Linked DNA regions of Notamacropus eugenii. The protein of the gene in region 1 purifies or fractionates together with the protein of each later gene. This does not show direct contact. Links are inferred from orthologs where the notes say so. Each region holds a gene or a part of one and is shown on either strand. Other genes may lie near its edges.

Region 1 (7,203 bases):
TTGATGGGCTATGTAAATGAGAACTATAAGTCTGATTATTATTGAACTGAACTGAAGTTTTTACTTGATCACAATTTTACTTCATCATAGGATACTAAATCTAGAGCTGCAAGGACATCAGAGGCCAGCTAATAATCCAGCCTCCTCTTTTTACAGATGAGGAAACAGAGGTCTAAGTTAGCTAAGTAATTTCACTAAGGTCACTTGGGTAATAAGTATCAGTGGGCACTTGAACCCAGCTGCTTTTTTCATCCCTCTTTCCACTGTACCACCATCTTCCCACGGATAATTTTGGAATAAAGAATTAATGGGAAATTGACAACTTCCCATTAATAATAAATAATAATTTTATTATTGAATAATCATTAAATATATTTACATATCAATAATACATAAATAGGTACACTAATGAGCAACATAAGCAAATCAGAGAAGCCTGATTTAGGGTAGAAGGATTATGTGAGACGTGTTTATTATAACATTCAATGCCAACAGACTTAAGCTATGTGTAAGTGTAATTCCAGGAAGTGTGGCATGAAAAAAGAAGACGAGCTAGAGCAAAAGCCCTGGGTTTAAGTCTCCATCAACACTTTGTAGCCATATGACCATAGGCAAGTCCCTTCCTTCACCTCCTGAACCTTGAGCTCCTTAATACAATGGAGATGATATTTCCCCCTATACACCTCACAAAGCTATGGAGAATAGCACTAGGTAAAACTGGTAAACACCACAGAAATGTGAGGTCTTATTGTTACTATTAATTCACCATTAAGTCACTGGACAGCTATTACAAACAGTTACCTGTGGTTTCCAACAAGAATGTTCCGCTGGGGGGATTTGGACAAACAGGTGTAATGATGTCACAGCAAAACAATTTATTTACTGTAAACTTTAGACTTTGCTCATTCAACAGCAGAAGCTGTCCCCTCTGTGTCCCTGCCTCCAATAGCCCATGTGAGCCAATAGGAGGATAAGACGAATCCATATGGACAGCCAGGTCCGGCTGGAGCATCCGCAAGGCCCAGGGGGAAGGCTTGCTCCTCCAGATAGATGTCCCAAGTAGAAGTATGCTAACCCTAATACTTGACAAATGAGGTAGATCTAGAAGAAAGTCATCCAAACTCGACCAAGTCCTCAAGGTCTGAGATCCTTGAAGTGGGATATACACTTCCAAACTCCATTCCAGGCAGAACCCACCTGTTACAGAAATGCAGAATCCCTAGAACTGGTGGGTGAGTTATTTTGTTTCCTGTTAACTTAAAAACTTAAAAAATAAATAGGCTAAGTCTGTCCTCCTCCACCTGCCCATCTCTCTCTAGGCTGACTAGACATTTCTAGCTCAGGAGTTAGAGTGTGCTTAGTATTTGAGTGTTGGTGACGAGTTGTTTTTGTGGATTGTTTTGGGGGGGGGGGAGGGTTGGTGGTTGCTGTTCTTTTAAAAAGTGGATTCTTTCTTTTTCCCCACCTTGCTTGGTTTGCTGAGGGTTTTTTACCAACCAGAGAGACAGTCACAAGGGGGTATCATCCAGAGTCTGATCCTGGCTCTCTAAGGTCGCGCTAGCATTAGGCACAGTACCTGCACAGTTCAAAAAGCCCTCAGTGCCTGGGAGGTCTTCATACAGCAGCTCGATCTCCTTCTCCTGCTCGGTGGGATAGCTCCCTCGCTCCTCGTTGGGCTCACTTCTCCCATTGCTGTTGCTGGAGTGGCCATTGCCATAGAGCTTCAGGGCTGACCTCCTGAAACAGAGGAGCTCCTGAAAGGCATATCTGAAGTCCGGGCTCCGGCAGTAGATCAGCGGGTTGAAGGCTGAATTGGCGTAGCCCACCCAGTTCAGAAAAATGTACACATATTTGGGGACAATGTTGTCCTGTATCGCATGGACAATGTTAACAATGAAGAAAGGCAACCAACAGAGGGTAAAGGTCCCCATGATGATACCCAAGGTCTTGAGAGCTTTATGTTCCTTCAAACAGAACTTGGAAGACCTTCGGTGACTTGTCCTTCCATTTTGCTCCATCTGGTTGCTGTTCTGGACATGAAAGCGGCCCTCAGATTTATCTATCTTCTTAAGTTGCTTCTTGGCCACCTGGAAGACCCGGGAGTACACAAATACCATGACCACCAGAGGCACATAAAAGGACACAATAGAGGAAGCAATGGCATAAGCCTGGTTAGTGAAGAAGTCACAGCAGGTCTCCTTCTCATAACATGAGAGAGCTTCCTGGTGGCTGGCACGATACCAGTGCATCTGAATGGGCAGGAAGGAGGTGAGGGCCGATACCACCCAGACCACTAGGATGACCACCCTGGCCTTGCCCTTGGTAAGCAGACTCTGGTACCGAAAAGGTGCTGTGATGGCGAAGTAGCGGTCCACAGCAATAACGCAGAGGGTCTCGATGCTAGCTGTGACACACAGAACATCAATGGAGGTCCAGAACTCACACCAAAAGTTCCCAAAGGTCCACATTTCCATGAGGATGTGACTGGCACCAAAAGGCACCACTGCCAGCCCCATAACCAGGTCAGCACAAGCCAGTGATGTGATGAAGTAGTTAGTGACTGTCTGCAAACGCTGGAACCTGGCGATGGCTGTGATGACCAGCACATTGCCAAACACAGTGGCTAGAACTATAATGGACATGACAATGCCCAAGCCCACCATCCACGCTTCACCCTTCTGAATGGTGGCGTTTAAAAAGCTGTGGCTCAAGTTGGCAGACATGACCCCCCAAGCTGTCCCCCCGGGGGGCGGGGCCGTCCCTGGAGGTCCACAAGCCTTGATTGAGAGTACCCCGCTGCCAATCTCTTCTTGGCAGGGGCTCAGCTCCCTGAGAGTCCCAAGCAGCTGCTCGCCCGACGAGGGCCCGTCATTCAGTCTCCGTAAGGTGCACAGGACCTCCAGGAACAGAGGGGAAGGAGGAAAGCAGGGCGCGCCCCAGTCTGAGGATCTGACCTTAGGAACAGCGAAAGCGGCAGCTTCTCGCAGCGAGCGCGCAGACTGCAAGTGCTCGGAGCCCGCTATGCGCCCCGGACTTCAGAACTTCGGTTGTCCCCCGGCCCGCCTCCATCCGATGACGTTATGTTACTTTCGGCCAATGGTGTGAGGGAGACCCCGCCCCTCCCCCCCTGCTGCTGGGAGTCCCGGCCCTCCCCGGAGCCGCACCTTATTCAGGGCGCGCTGAATGTGGAAGATCTGGGCTCTGGGTTTCCGCGGGAGCCCCAGGGGGTGCAGCTCTGCCTGCCCCGGCCTTGCAGACTGGACGCCCCGTTGGGAGTCAGCAGATCCCAGGAGACACACACATGTAATGAGATGCGGAGAGACAGTCACACACACAGACAGGCATACCGAGAAAAACGTTAGCGCACACAGACGCAGAGATCCAGAGAGAGAGACCGAGAAAGACATAGGTACACAGGCACACGCGAAGACGCAAGAACACCGAGTAACTCTAACCCTAATTATGTAACTATGGTACCTAGACACACACAGACACAGGCATACAGACACATGGGTACGCGCACCAAGAAACAGTTGTAAACATTGGGACAAAGACAGTGGCACACAGAGAGCAACAGGCAGTGAATGACACACACACAGACGCAGAAACAAACACATTCTCACAGGCACAAGCGCACTTCTTTTAGATTAGTTGAAAAACTGAAGTCTGACAGCGTAGTCAGTCAGTCAATCAACAAACATTTAATTAAGCGCTGTGCTACGCAATGAAGACACAAAGGGCAAAAGCAGTCCTCGCCCTGAAGGACATCATTTTCCGAGGAGGGCAACAGTACACAAACAGCTATGTATGTACAAGATATATATACAAGGTAACTGAAATGTGGGTGATCTCAGAGAGGGACAGGGTAAGGCTTCTTGTAGGTTTAATAACAGAGAAGTCCCTTTTTTGCAGGAAAGATGTTATTTATCCTAATCTCCATGGTCATTGCTTGAGCATGTAATGAATGTTACAATTCTTTTTCATCCTTAGGCTCACACATTTAGAGATGGAAGAGACCTCAGAGATCACATCTAGATCTTCCTTTCATTTTATAGATGAGGAATCCATGACTTAATGAAGAAATGACTCATTACAAAGACTTAGGCAATGAATAACAGAATCTGAACCCTCCTTCTTTTATTCCAAATCCAAGGAATCCAAATCCAAATCACTCCACTGCACCCCACTGAGTCCCAGAGAGTTGCGTTTATTTTCTTTTTCTTCTATTTCTTTTTTGGAGAGTGAAAGATTTGAAGGTGGGATAGAGGACCCAGGGAAACATGTTGTTTATTTTTAATGCAAAGGACAACATTTTTCTAGTCTGATTTCATTTTCTTTTCTTTTTTTTGCCTGATTTCATTTTCAAGTGAGAATACTTCAAGTTTCAAGGTTAAGTATCGGATTTATTGTACACTCACTCTGATTTCCACATGCACTTGCATTAGCATGATAGTCTACTCTGCACATCTGCACATAGTCCCATGGAGCAAATGTCAAAGCTTACAGATATCAGAGGGTGCCCACCTGCATCTGAAGAGAGCTCCTCCATTTGGGAGTTCCCTTTACCAATGGAATCACATGATCACAGGATCATAGGTTCAGTGCTAGAATAAACCTTAAAAGGTATCTATCAAGCTCAAGTCCCTGATTCTACAGATGAGGAATTAAGGTCCAGTGAGGTTGTTACTTACCTAAGGTCACAGGGTAGAAATAAATGGCAGAGCCAGGATTTGAAAAGAATAAAGGTACTCAGTAACAATAGCTAGTATCTGGTGCTTTACAAATTACCTTACATCCATTATCTAAGCTTCATAACAGTTCTATAAGGTATGTATTATTCCCCCCTCCCCCTTTTTTTTAGATGGGGGAATTGAGATTGAGAAAAGTTAGGTGACTTGTCTGAAATCACAGAACTAGTTAGTGGCAGAATTAGGATTTGAACTTCTGTCTTCTGACTTCAGATCCGAAATGCTTTTCACTACCTAACATTGGTAGCTATGTAACAACAGTTTTCATTTATTCGACACTTGATGATTACAAATCACCCCGTATCCATTATCTTCTTTGATCCTTACAGCATAAGGATGACAGCAGAAGCAGCGGTTATAATAGCCCTGAGGGCAAGGGAATGCAAATGTTATACCCACTGATGAGGAAACTAGGAAACTGAAGCAAAATGAAAGTCTGGACAACAGCTGTGGTGGATCTAGAACTTGAATTCATGTCTCTCGTAACAGAGTCTGGAATCACACACACCCCTGCATCTCTCCAAATGGTGTAGCATGAAGTTCCCTTTATAGCCACAGTAGATACTTTCCAAAGACTTTGGAGTTTATTAGAGGCAAAGTGGTGAAGCAGAGATTTGACCTCGGAAGACCCAGTTCAAGTCCTGCCACTGATACATACTGACCCTGGGCAAATTACTTAACATCTCTGTTCTAGGCAACTCTCGATGACTAGAAATTGCTAAAATAGTGCCCACCTGCATTTGGGAAGGAAATCTCATCTGGGGCTCTCCCTAAACCAATCAAATTGAAGATCTAATGCCCATCTACTATTCCTGTTGGTCTTATTATCTGGCTGAAGTACATGTGTATTGAAACAAACTTCCTTAGGGTATTTAGTAAAATCAGTTTATTAGATGATGCATGTGGGTGTTGTATCTAGTGCAAATTGGTCAGGCAGTCTTCACCAACACGCACTAATGTTCACATGAATAGCCTTCAGCGGGCACCTAATTTAAGTCCTTTATTTTACAAGTGAGGAAACTGAGGCACAAAGAGTCTAAATGGCTGGTCCAAGATCAAATGGGTAGTAAGTAGTAGAACTGAAATTCAAACCCAGGTCATCTGACCACAGATCCAGGGCTCATTCCATTGTACCACACTGCCTCCCAGAGGGAGGGGAGGAGAAGAGAGGGAAGGCAGAATTGTAAGTAGATCATAGACTTAGGGCTGGAAGGGATCTTAAAGGTCTTCTCCAACCCCCTCATTTTACAGATGAGGAAACTGAGACCTAAAGAGTTTAAGTGATTTGTCCAAATTTGCACAGGTAAGTCCCCTAGCGGTTAATTCCCTCCTTCTATTCATTGTAAGGGTTTAGATATAATATCTGTGTGTGTGTGTGTATGTGTGTGTGTGTGTGTGTGTGTGTGTGCATGCATTTAGACATTATCTCCTCCACCAGACTGTATACTCGAGTTTCACTTTTGTCATTGTAGCCCCAGCAGTTAGCACAGACTTGCCATTAAAATAAATCTTTAATAAAAATGTTGTTTGAGTGATTGTAAGTAGCAGTGGTTTGAACCCAGGTCCAATGACTCCAAATTCAGAACTCCATCCACTGGACCACATTGTAGTCTGTCTTCAAGGAGCAGAGTTGAGAAATAGTGTTTTTGGCAGGCAGCGATGCCTATTTGCACAGCTATTATAAATCAAGAAATTGTATGAATCGATGCAATAGCTATTTATTGAGAACTTAGTGTGAGTACATGTTGTAGTTGAAAGAGGATTGGATTTGGAGGCAGAAGACCTGGATTTGAGTCTTAAGCTCAGCTCCCTTCCAGCACTGTGGTCTTCAACAAGTCACTTCCACTCCCTGGGTCTCAGTTTCCTCAACTATAAACTGAGGGAAATGCACTCACTTGATTATCTCGAAGTGCCTTTTTAACTCAAAATCCTGTGATGTATAAAATTTGGCCAAGCTTGCACAACATGCATACCACATTCCTGTGTTTTCACATTGGACTGTAACATGAGGGATTGGGGGAATTAATAATGTTTGTTTTGTAACACCATTTCCTTAAAAAATGAAGTTCAGTCTCTCATTAGTTTCCATCTGGCTTACCGCAGCAACTTACTAATAAGACTTGCTATCTCCACCCTTGTGAATCCAACCAGGTGTCCAGTAAATCTAATCAAAAGAGGTTTAAAATAAAAAGAATGAGGGAAAGAGACAACTAAATGGCACAGTAGTTAGAGGCCTGGAATCAAGAAGACCTGTGTTCAAATCCAGCCTCAGACTTAGTTGTGTGACCATGGGCAAGTACCTTAATCTCTATGTGATTATTGTTATGAGTATAAAATAAGATAATATTTAGAAGCTGAGGCATCCAGAAATTCGGAGAAGACAATATTCAGGAAAAGATTCAATAACAAAACCCGTGGCTTCAAATGTCTAGATGAAAATGTTTAAACTTGAAAG
Region 2 (7,695 bases), on another chromosome or scaffold:
CCACTGCTCTGGAAATCAGGATAACAACGACAATAGCACTTGTGTAACACGTTATTTGCAAAGATTTGATCTTCACCACCCTGGAAGATAGGTGCCATTACTGTCCCCACCTTACAGGTGAGGAAACGGAGGCAAATTGGGTGAAATGACTTGGCTCAGGCTCACACAGCTAGCAAGTGTCTGGGGTCAGAGTTGATCTCCCCAAGAGGAGTCTCCCCGACTCTAAGCACCATGGCGCCCCCTAGATGCCCCAAGCCTTGCATACTTTGTTCATGCTTTCGCTGACCCAACTCCTCCATAGAGGGCTGTAATTCCATCGGTCGTAAAGACGCTGCCATACACTCATTTAAAAAATCTTCTAAAGAGTCTGAGTTGTTTCTTAGGGGGAGAACTGTGCCCCAGACCTGTGATTTAATTAAGAGAGAACTGCCCAGAGGCACTCTGGAAGCACACAGCAGACAGGAGGTTTGGCCCCAGCTCTTCCAGAATCCAAAACAATGCAGCTAATAATACAAGGAAAATTCAAGTTCATAGAAACGTTTCTCTGAACTGCTTTTCCACAACTAGTGTGAGCTGAAGGGACCGGAGAATGAGAGCCTGTGACTTCCCAGCCAGGCCCCAGGATCCTCCTCAGTCATCTGTCTTTTCAGCTCCTCCACTTCCTGACTTTCTTGGAGAATCTGACCATGGCTACAGTAAAGACCCCATGTTCAAGGCTACCGGGACAGAGGTCTCCCTCCCACTCTCTGTTTTACTTTTCACATTCCTCTGCACTCCCCCCTTTTCTAGCCTTTGTACATGAAAATGATCTCTTATTGAAGCTAAACTTGAAAGTATTTTTTTAAAAAGAAAACCTATTCTTATTAACAAAATTGTCCTTCATGGCTTCAGAAAAACCTGGGAAGACTTATATGAACATATGCAAATCGAACAGAACCAGGACACTGCATAGAAATAGCAGCACTGCAAGTTAGCGACTGTGAAAGACTCTGTTACTGGACCAAGACAATCCCAAAAAGGCTCTCCTCCTCCACAGACGGATGGACTCTGAGTGCAGATCAAAGCAGACTTGTTTTTTTAACCTGATTTCTTATTCTGTGTGTGTGTGTGCATGTGTTTTCTTTCACACCATGGCTAACATAGAAATACGCTTTGCATGAGCTCAGCGTATAATCAAAATAAAATTGCTTGCTTCTCAAGGAGGAAGAAGGGGTGGGAGAGAGAGGGAAAGAATTTGAGACTCAAAATTTTAAAAAATGATTGTTAAAAATTTTTTACATGTAATTGGGGAATAGTTGATGAAAAAAATAAAAGTAATTTTTAAAAAAAACACAGAATTGTCCTTCATATTAGACCTGTGCTCTCCTCCCTGGAAATTGTTGTGTTGGTTTTTTTTTTAATTCTTCTTTACATGGTTTATGTTTGATTTTCTATATCAAGGCTTTTTCTCCCAACTAGAGTATAAGTTCCCTGTAGGGAAGGATGGTTGTTTTTTGTCTTTGTCTTTATCCCCAGTGCTTAGGGCGAGGCCTGACAGGGGGGATGCTTAACGCTTTTTCAATAGAAGTCCACTGAGTGGATCTTCATCACCCACAGTCCCTAGATTCAATCTTCACTCCTAAGATATTCAGGCAATTGTCCTGAAACAAACGGATCCACTTCTGTCATTCCTTTGGAGACTACCCCAACCTCCTCCTCAAACAACGCACCCCAAACTTGGCCTGCAGAGCAGAGGACACCAGAGGAGAGGTCTCAATTCTCCCATCCCTCCTCCTGGCCTGCTGGAGAGAGACCTGCATTCAAATCCCGCCTGACTCAGCGAAGGTGGCTGGTGCAGGACTCACCTGGAATTCCCTCTTTCCCCTGCATGTTGCCCTTCTCCCCCAGACTCCCCTTCTTTCCCAGTCCACCCCTTTCATCTGCTCGGCATCTCTCTATCTGAGATGGACCTGACATCAATGACCGTGGGCTCCTTCTGAGAGGACAGGCCTCAGCCAGCCACCAGGCCTTTCTCTGGGGCTGCTTCTCCTGAGGACCCTCCGTTCTGATTAAGGCCAAACCTCCAAGCCTTTGAAAGTGTGAGCAACAGGTGCTGCTTCTGTAAGCTAAGAGAGCCAGAACTGTCCAGGAAGGGGCCCAGCCCCAGGCGCTGGGCCCAGGCCTGGCCACCCAGGATAGGCCACCCCGGACGGGCCACCCAAGACGGGCCAGCCAGGCTGAACCACCCCGGACGGGCCACCCCGGCCACAGCAGACTGACCCGGCCTGAGCCATGGCTCCGGTCAGACTGACCCTGGCTCGGCTATGGTCCCGGAGCGCCTCCACAGACATGGGACTGACCACAGGAGCCCAAGCATTAAGCACCGACTGTCTACAGTCTCACACCTTCCACCTGCCATCGGTGCCCTGGCTCGCACCCTGGTCACTGACCCCGGGGCCCTGCCCAAGGTCCAGCTCGGTCCCGTATTCTGTTTGAGGTGACCGGTGGGGGGACAAGCTGCCCGGGGCCCCCCACCTCGGGGGAGCGCCGGGCCCTCCTGCCCGGGTCCCACTGAAGCCGGCATTCAAGGCCCCGCCGCTGGGGGGCGGAGTGTCTCACCGGGGACCTCAGCCCTCCGCCCTAGGGGCCACACGCCCGGCGGCCCCTCGGGGCACGCCCCCATCCATAGCGCAGCCAGGGCTCCGTTAGGGCCCCGGCGGACGCCGCCCGGTCCTCGCATACAGCAGGCACTTAATAAGCGCTCGCGCAGAGCGGGGGCCAGGGGAGGCCGGGCTGCGGGCCAGGCGGCGGCTGTCATCTCCCTCCTCCGAGCGGGTGCCTCTCCCGCCCCCCAGGCCCCGCTCACCGTTCACGGTCACGGTCTCGGTCACGGTCGCTCGGGATCAGCGCCGCGGCAGCGAGGGCTCGTCCCACCCGCCGCCGCGGCCCCGCCTCCAGCGCCGGCCACGGCCCACGGCCCACGGCCCGCGGCGGGGCCCACGTCTTGCCTCGGTGCGTAACCTCCCGCCTCGGCCGCCGCCGCCGCTGCCGCCGCGCCTGCCTCCTTCCGGGGCCGCGGGCCCAGCCGGGAAGGGCGGGGCGGGGAGGGGAGAGGCGGGGGAGAAGGGGGAGGGGGCGGAGGGAGGAGGGAGGAGAAAGGAGGGACGGATGGTGAAGGGAGGAGAAGGGGAGCGAGCCCCGCCCCCGGGCTGGTGGGCAGGCGCACTCGCCCCGAGGGGCGGAGGGGGAGGGGAGAAGGGAATGAGCCCCGCCCCCGGGCTGGTGGGCAGGCGCACTCGCCCCGAGGGGCGGAGGGGGAGGGGAGAAGGGAATGAGCCCCGCCCCCGGGCTGGTGGGCAGGCGCACTCGCCCCGAGGGGCGGAGGGGGAGGAGGGAGGGGAGAGAGGAAAGAAGCCCGCCCCTGGGCTGGAGGGCGGGCGCACACGCCCCGAGGGGAGGGGAGGGAGGGGAAAGGGAAGTGAGCCCCGCCCCCGACTGGTAGGCGGGTGCACACGGCTCGAGGGAAGGAGGAGGGTTCAGAAGAGGAGAACGAGCCCCGCCCCCCGCGAAACAGGGCGGGGTTTTAGGGGGCAGGGCTCGGGAGGGGCGAGGCATAGAGTCCCGCCCCCTCCGTCTGGTACCGCCTCCTTCGGTTGGTTCTCCGGATATCTTGGGGTACACTGGGAGCTTCTTGAGGGTAGGGTCTGTCTGGTCCTTTCTTTGGGTCTTCATGATTGCCCACCAGCCACCCCGAGGCGGCGGACAGTTAGGGAGACCCCCCCCTTTGCTTTGGTCCCGACTCTTCCTGGAGCTCCTGACACCTCCTGGCCTCCCGTGAGTCCGTGGGCATTTATTAGGTGCCTGCTGTGTACAGCGCCCTCAGTCCGACGTCCTGGCCTGATTGTGCCCCCTTGGGTCCTGGGGACGGGGAAGGGGGGAGACTGGACAGCTCAGAGTCCTTCACGCCAGGAGATGGACCCCTTTGTCCCATCCCTGCCGTGGTCTCCCCAACAGATAGTAGCGCAGCATTTATGCAACCCTTTGGGGTGAGTTCTTGGTTTGGGGGTGAATTTGGGGAGGTGAATCTGCCAGCTTTTCCCTAGGAGCGTTTCCTGGGAGCCCACAGCAAGGACAAAGCCTGTGCAAACGGGCATTTACCGCTCCCCCCCATCGATCCTCTTCCCAGGGGAGAATGTGCTGTGGAACTTTGGGACCAAAGTCAAGGCCCATCTGTTGGGAAGGGCCTAGCCTCAGGCCCACCCATTGTGGTCCCAGAGGATGCTGCAGCGAGTGCCACTCCAGGGCGGGAAGGCAGAGGAGGAGCGGAGAAGATGACTAGCGGTCATCAGAGCCCTGCCACCCAGGCACTGGGCGACTCCATCAAGGTGAGCGCAAAGAATGACCCCTCCCAAAAAATCCAAAATGAACGGTGACCAGAAGACTGCCTCTTGGTGGAGGTCCCCTGGTCTCACACATGGCTGGAGCTCTCCTTTCCCCTAAAATACTATTTGTCATATGGAATAGCTCTCTGAAAGGGGGAGAGGGAGAGACACGTGAGATACTATGGTGAGGCAAGAAAGAGAAAATAGCCATAGAAACTTATTTTTTTAAAAAAATACTGCTGGGATAATTTCAGAAAAACCTGGAAAGACTAACATGAATTGATGCAAAGTGAAGCGGGCAGAACCAAGACCACATCGTACACATTAACAGCAACACTGTTGGAAGATCCACTAGGATGGACTTAGCTCAGGAATACAATGATCCAAAACAATTCCAAAGGATTCATGAAGAAAAATGCTGTCCACCTCTTTCCAGAGAAAGAACTGATGGAGTCTGAATGCAGACCGAAGCAAACTCTTTTTCACTTAATTTTTTCGGGGAGTTGTTTTTTTTTTTTTTGGTCTGTTTTCTAACAACTAATATGGAAATATGTTTTGCATGAGTGCACGTGTATAACCTCTACCAAACTGCTCACCTGCTCAGATGAGGGGAAGAAGAAAACAAGAAGGAAATTTGGAACCCCAAACTTTTTAAAATGAATATTAAAACTTGTCTTTATGTTTAATTGGGGAAAAACAAAGTATTATTAAAAAGAAAGAAAAAAGAAAAAATCTGATACTAAGCTGTGTCCTGAAGTTCTCTCCTCAGTCCTCCAGGCAGCAAACCTCAGAGCTCAGAAGGGACTTTTTCGGGGGAGGTCTGATTCAGGGAGGCCAATCAGGCCTGGGCTAGGATGGTGACACTCCCCCTCAGGGTCCTGGGGCACCCCAAGCCTTGAGGTGTTTTTGTTTTTCTAAATCTGTAGCCCAGAGCTTCCATTCACTGGGGTTGCATTCAAGAGAGGCTCTCCTTGAGTCTATTGAACCGATTAACTTCAATTAGCTTTGACGAAGGGATATTTGCTTTGAAGATACAGCAAGAAGGGAAATGGCAGGTTTCCCCTGTACCTCAGGGGTTCACTCTCCCCCATCCCAAGGACCGCGCTCATCCACAGTGGGGTTGCTGCAGTGCATGGGTCCCCAGTGCTCACCTCCCTGGCCTCAGCTCCCTGGTCAGTGCCTCAAAGCTGCATAGACTCTGCTTCTGGACCTTCACTGGCTCAGGTCACCTAGAAGGAATGAGCAAAAGCCTACATCTGCCTTCAGGGACCACATGGTTGGGGAGGGTGCAGGACTCAACCTTGGCCCTTGTCTGTCCCCTAGATCAGACGAACATGAAATCCACCTGGTGCCTTTGGAGTCTGATGCAGCCAAAGCCAGCCTGAGGGGCTCTAGTTCACCTACTAGGTGCGGTGCACATTCCTTGTGGGAACAGCATGAGTTGGGCACTCCACTTGCACTTGTGAGGACTGGGATCCTTGGCCAGCCACGCCTTCCTGGCTTCCAACTGGCTCAGGCCAGAGAGGCCAGTTCCTTTACAGAAAGACAATGGAAGAGCTGACATTTCTCCTATGTCTGCTAAGAGCTCTTTATCAGCTGCACAACAGTAAAAAACAATGCAGATCTATCTAATCTGATGAGTTAATCAAAAAAATTGGCAATGATGCTTTCCAATTATTCAACTGCAAGCACTGATCTGCTTTGAGAATGAAATATCCACTCTGCCCAAGTCGTTAGGACCTCAAGCACACATCTCTCTTCTATTTTGAAGTCCCAATGGCAGAGATTTTTAACAGAGGAATATTCTACAGTTAAAACTGAGCAAGGCTCCAAAGATTGGGTAACAGGTCAGTTAACAGGGTGCTTCATTAAATGGGACAATAGTTCACCGTTGGAGAATCATTTCTTTAAACCACTCATCTCCTCTTTGACCACTCCCTCCAAGGTTTCTCCTTGCCAGCTGGCCAAAGGTGAAATGAACTGAAGTAACTCAAGTAATCTATTAACTGAAGTCATCAAAGCAGCATCTTAGGGTTGACCCTTATCCTAACACCTTCAGGGCATGGGGGAAAAGCGAGCTGTTCTTAGATAAATCAGTCAGAGGGTCCTGGCTCTTCTCTGGTCCTGGAATTGATGGTTGAGAGAGATAGAGGAGGGTTCTCTTTCAGATTATTCCCAAGGTTTCAGGCAGGATCATTTTAAAGTGTTTTCTTAATATTGTTAAAAGGTAGGGAGCAAGAGGCAGCTGGTGGCACAGTGGAGAGAGCACTGGTCCCGGAGTCAGGAAGACCTGAGTTCCAATCCTGCCTCTGACACTTGGTACTTAATAACTGTGTGACCCTAGGCAAGTCACTTAACCCCAATTCCCTGAGGGGGCGGGGTGGAGGGGCAGGGAGAAGAGTTGGTTGGCTGGTAGGTTGTTGTCCTTTCTTCTCACAGAGAACGCAAATGACATCACTATGTTGGGGTCAAGTTACAATGTGTCCACTCCAACTGTAGCTGATCAGACCAATAGGAGCTTGGAATGCTCTACCACAGGTCAGACACAAATTGTCCATGTGAACATTCAGAGTGGTGATGTCTCTAAATCTGCATATCTGGTGGGTTTTTTTAAGCTACTGCAATTCTGCTTTGCTCATAGAGCACAACACCCTTTCTGATGTGGGCACACTGTGCTGGGCAGTCCTGTGATCCTATACTAGTGTCTCCCATGTCACATAATCAACTCCAAAGTTCCTAAAAGAGACCTTGAGAGTGTCCTTGTATCACTTCCTCTGACCAAGAATGAACATCTGCCCTGTGAGAGTTCTTCATAAAAGTCTTTTAGCAAATATAAATTTGGCATTTGAACAACTTTTGGCATTCAAACACGTGGCCAGCCCTTTGGAACTGTACTCTCTGTAGTAGAGTTTGAATGCTTGGCAGTTCAGTTTGGGTAAGGACCTTAATGTCTGGTACCTTATCCTGCCAGGTGATCCTCAGAATCTTCCTAAGACAATTCAAATGGAAGTGATTCAGTTTCCTGGCATGGTGCTGGTAGACTGCCCAGATTTCTCAGGCCAACAACAATGAGGTCAGCACAGTGGCTCTGTAGACCTTCAGTTTAGTAGGCAGACTAAAACGTTTTCTCTCCCATACTGTCCTTTGGAGCCCCCCAAACACTGAGCTAGCTCTGGCAATGCGTGCATCAACCTCATTGTCAATATGTACATCCCTGGAAAGTACACTACCAAAGTAAGTGAACTTATCTACAGAATTCAATATTTGTCCATTTGTTGTAACCAATGGTTCCATGTATGGATGATGTGGTACTGGCTAGTGGAAATGTTTTCTT

What was found. Proteins that work in one complex are often made in the same cells at the same time.
Region 2: the proteins of ADRB2 (region 1) and USP33 purify together in Homo sapiens (affinity purification with western blotting; 3 studies listed by BioGRID and IntAct, with this or other methods). This does not show direct contact. The link is inferred for Notamacropus eugenii from reciprocal best matches to the Homo sapiens genes ADRB2 and USP33.

What each region holds. Positions count from the first base shown.
Region 1 is NC_092872.1:409,722,937-409,730,139, forward strand, and holds the start of ADRB2 (beta-2 adrenergic receptor), read right to left. Parts: upstream 3,013-7,203; 5' UTR 2,724-3,012; coding exon 1,577-2,723; exon of another isoform or gene 802-1,576; intron 1-801. UniProt on the Homo sapiens protein: Beta-adrenergic receptors mediate the catecholamine-induced activation of adenylate cyclase through the action of G proteins. The beta-2-adrenergic receptor binds epinephrine with an approximately 30-fold greater affinity than it does norepinephrine.
Region 2 is NC_092873.1:538,966,657-538,974,351, forward strand, and holds the start of USP33 (ubiquitin carboxyl-terminal hydrolase 33), read right to left. Parts: upstream 3,085-7,695; 5' UTR 2,846-3,084; intron 1-2,845. UniProt on the Homo sapiens protein: Deubiquitinating enzyme involved in various processes such as centrosome duplication, cellular migration and beta-2 adrenergic receptor/ADRB2 recycling.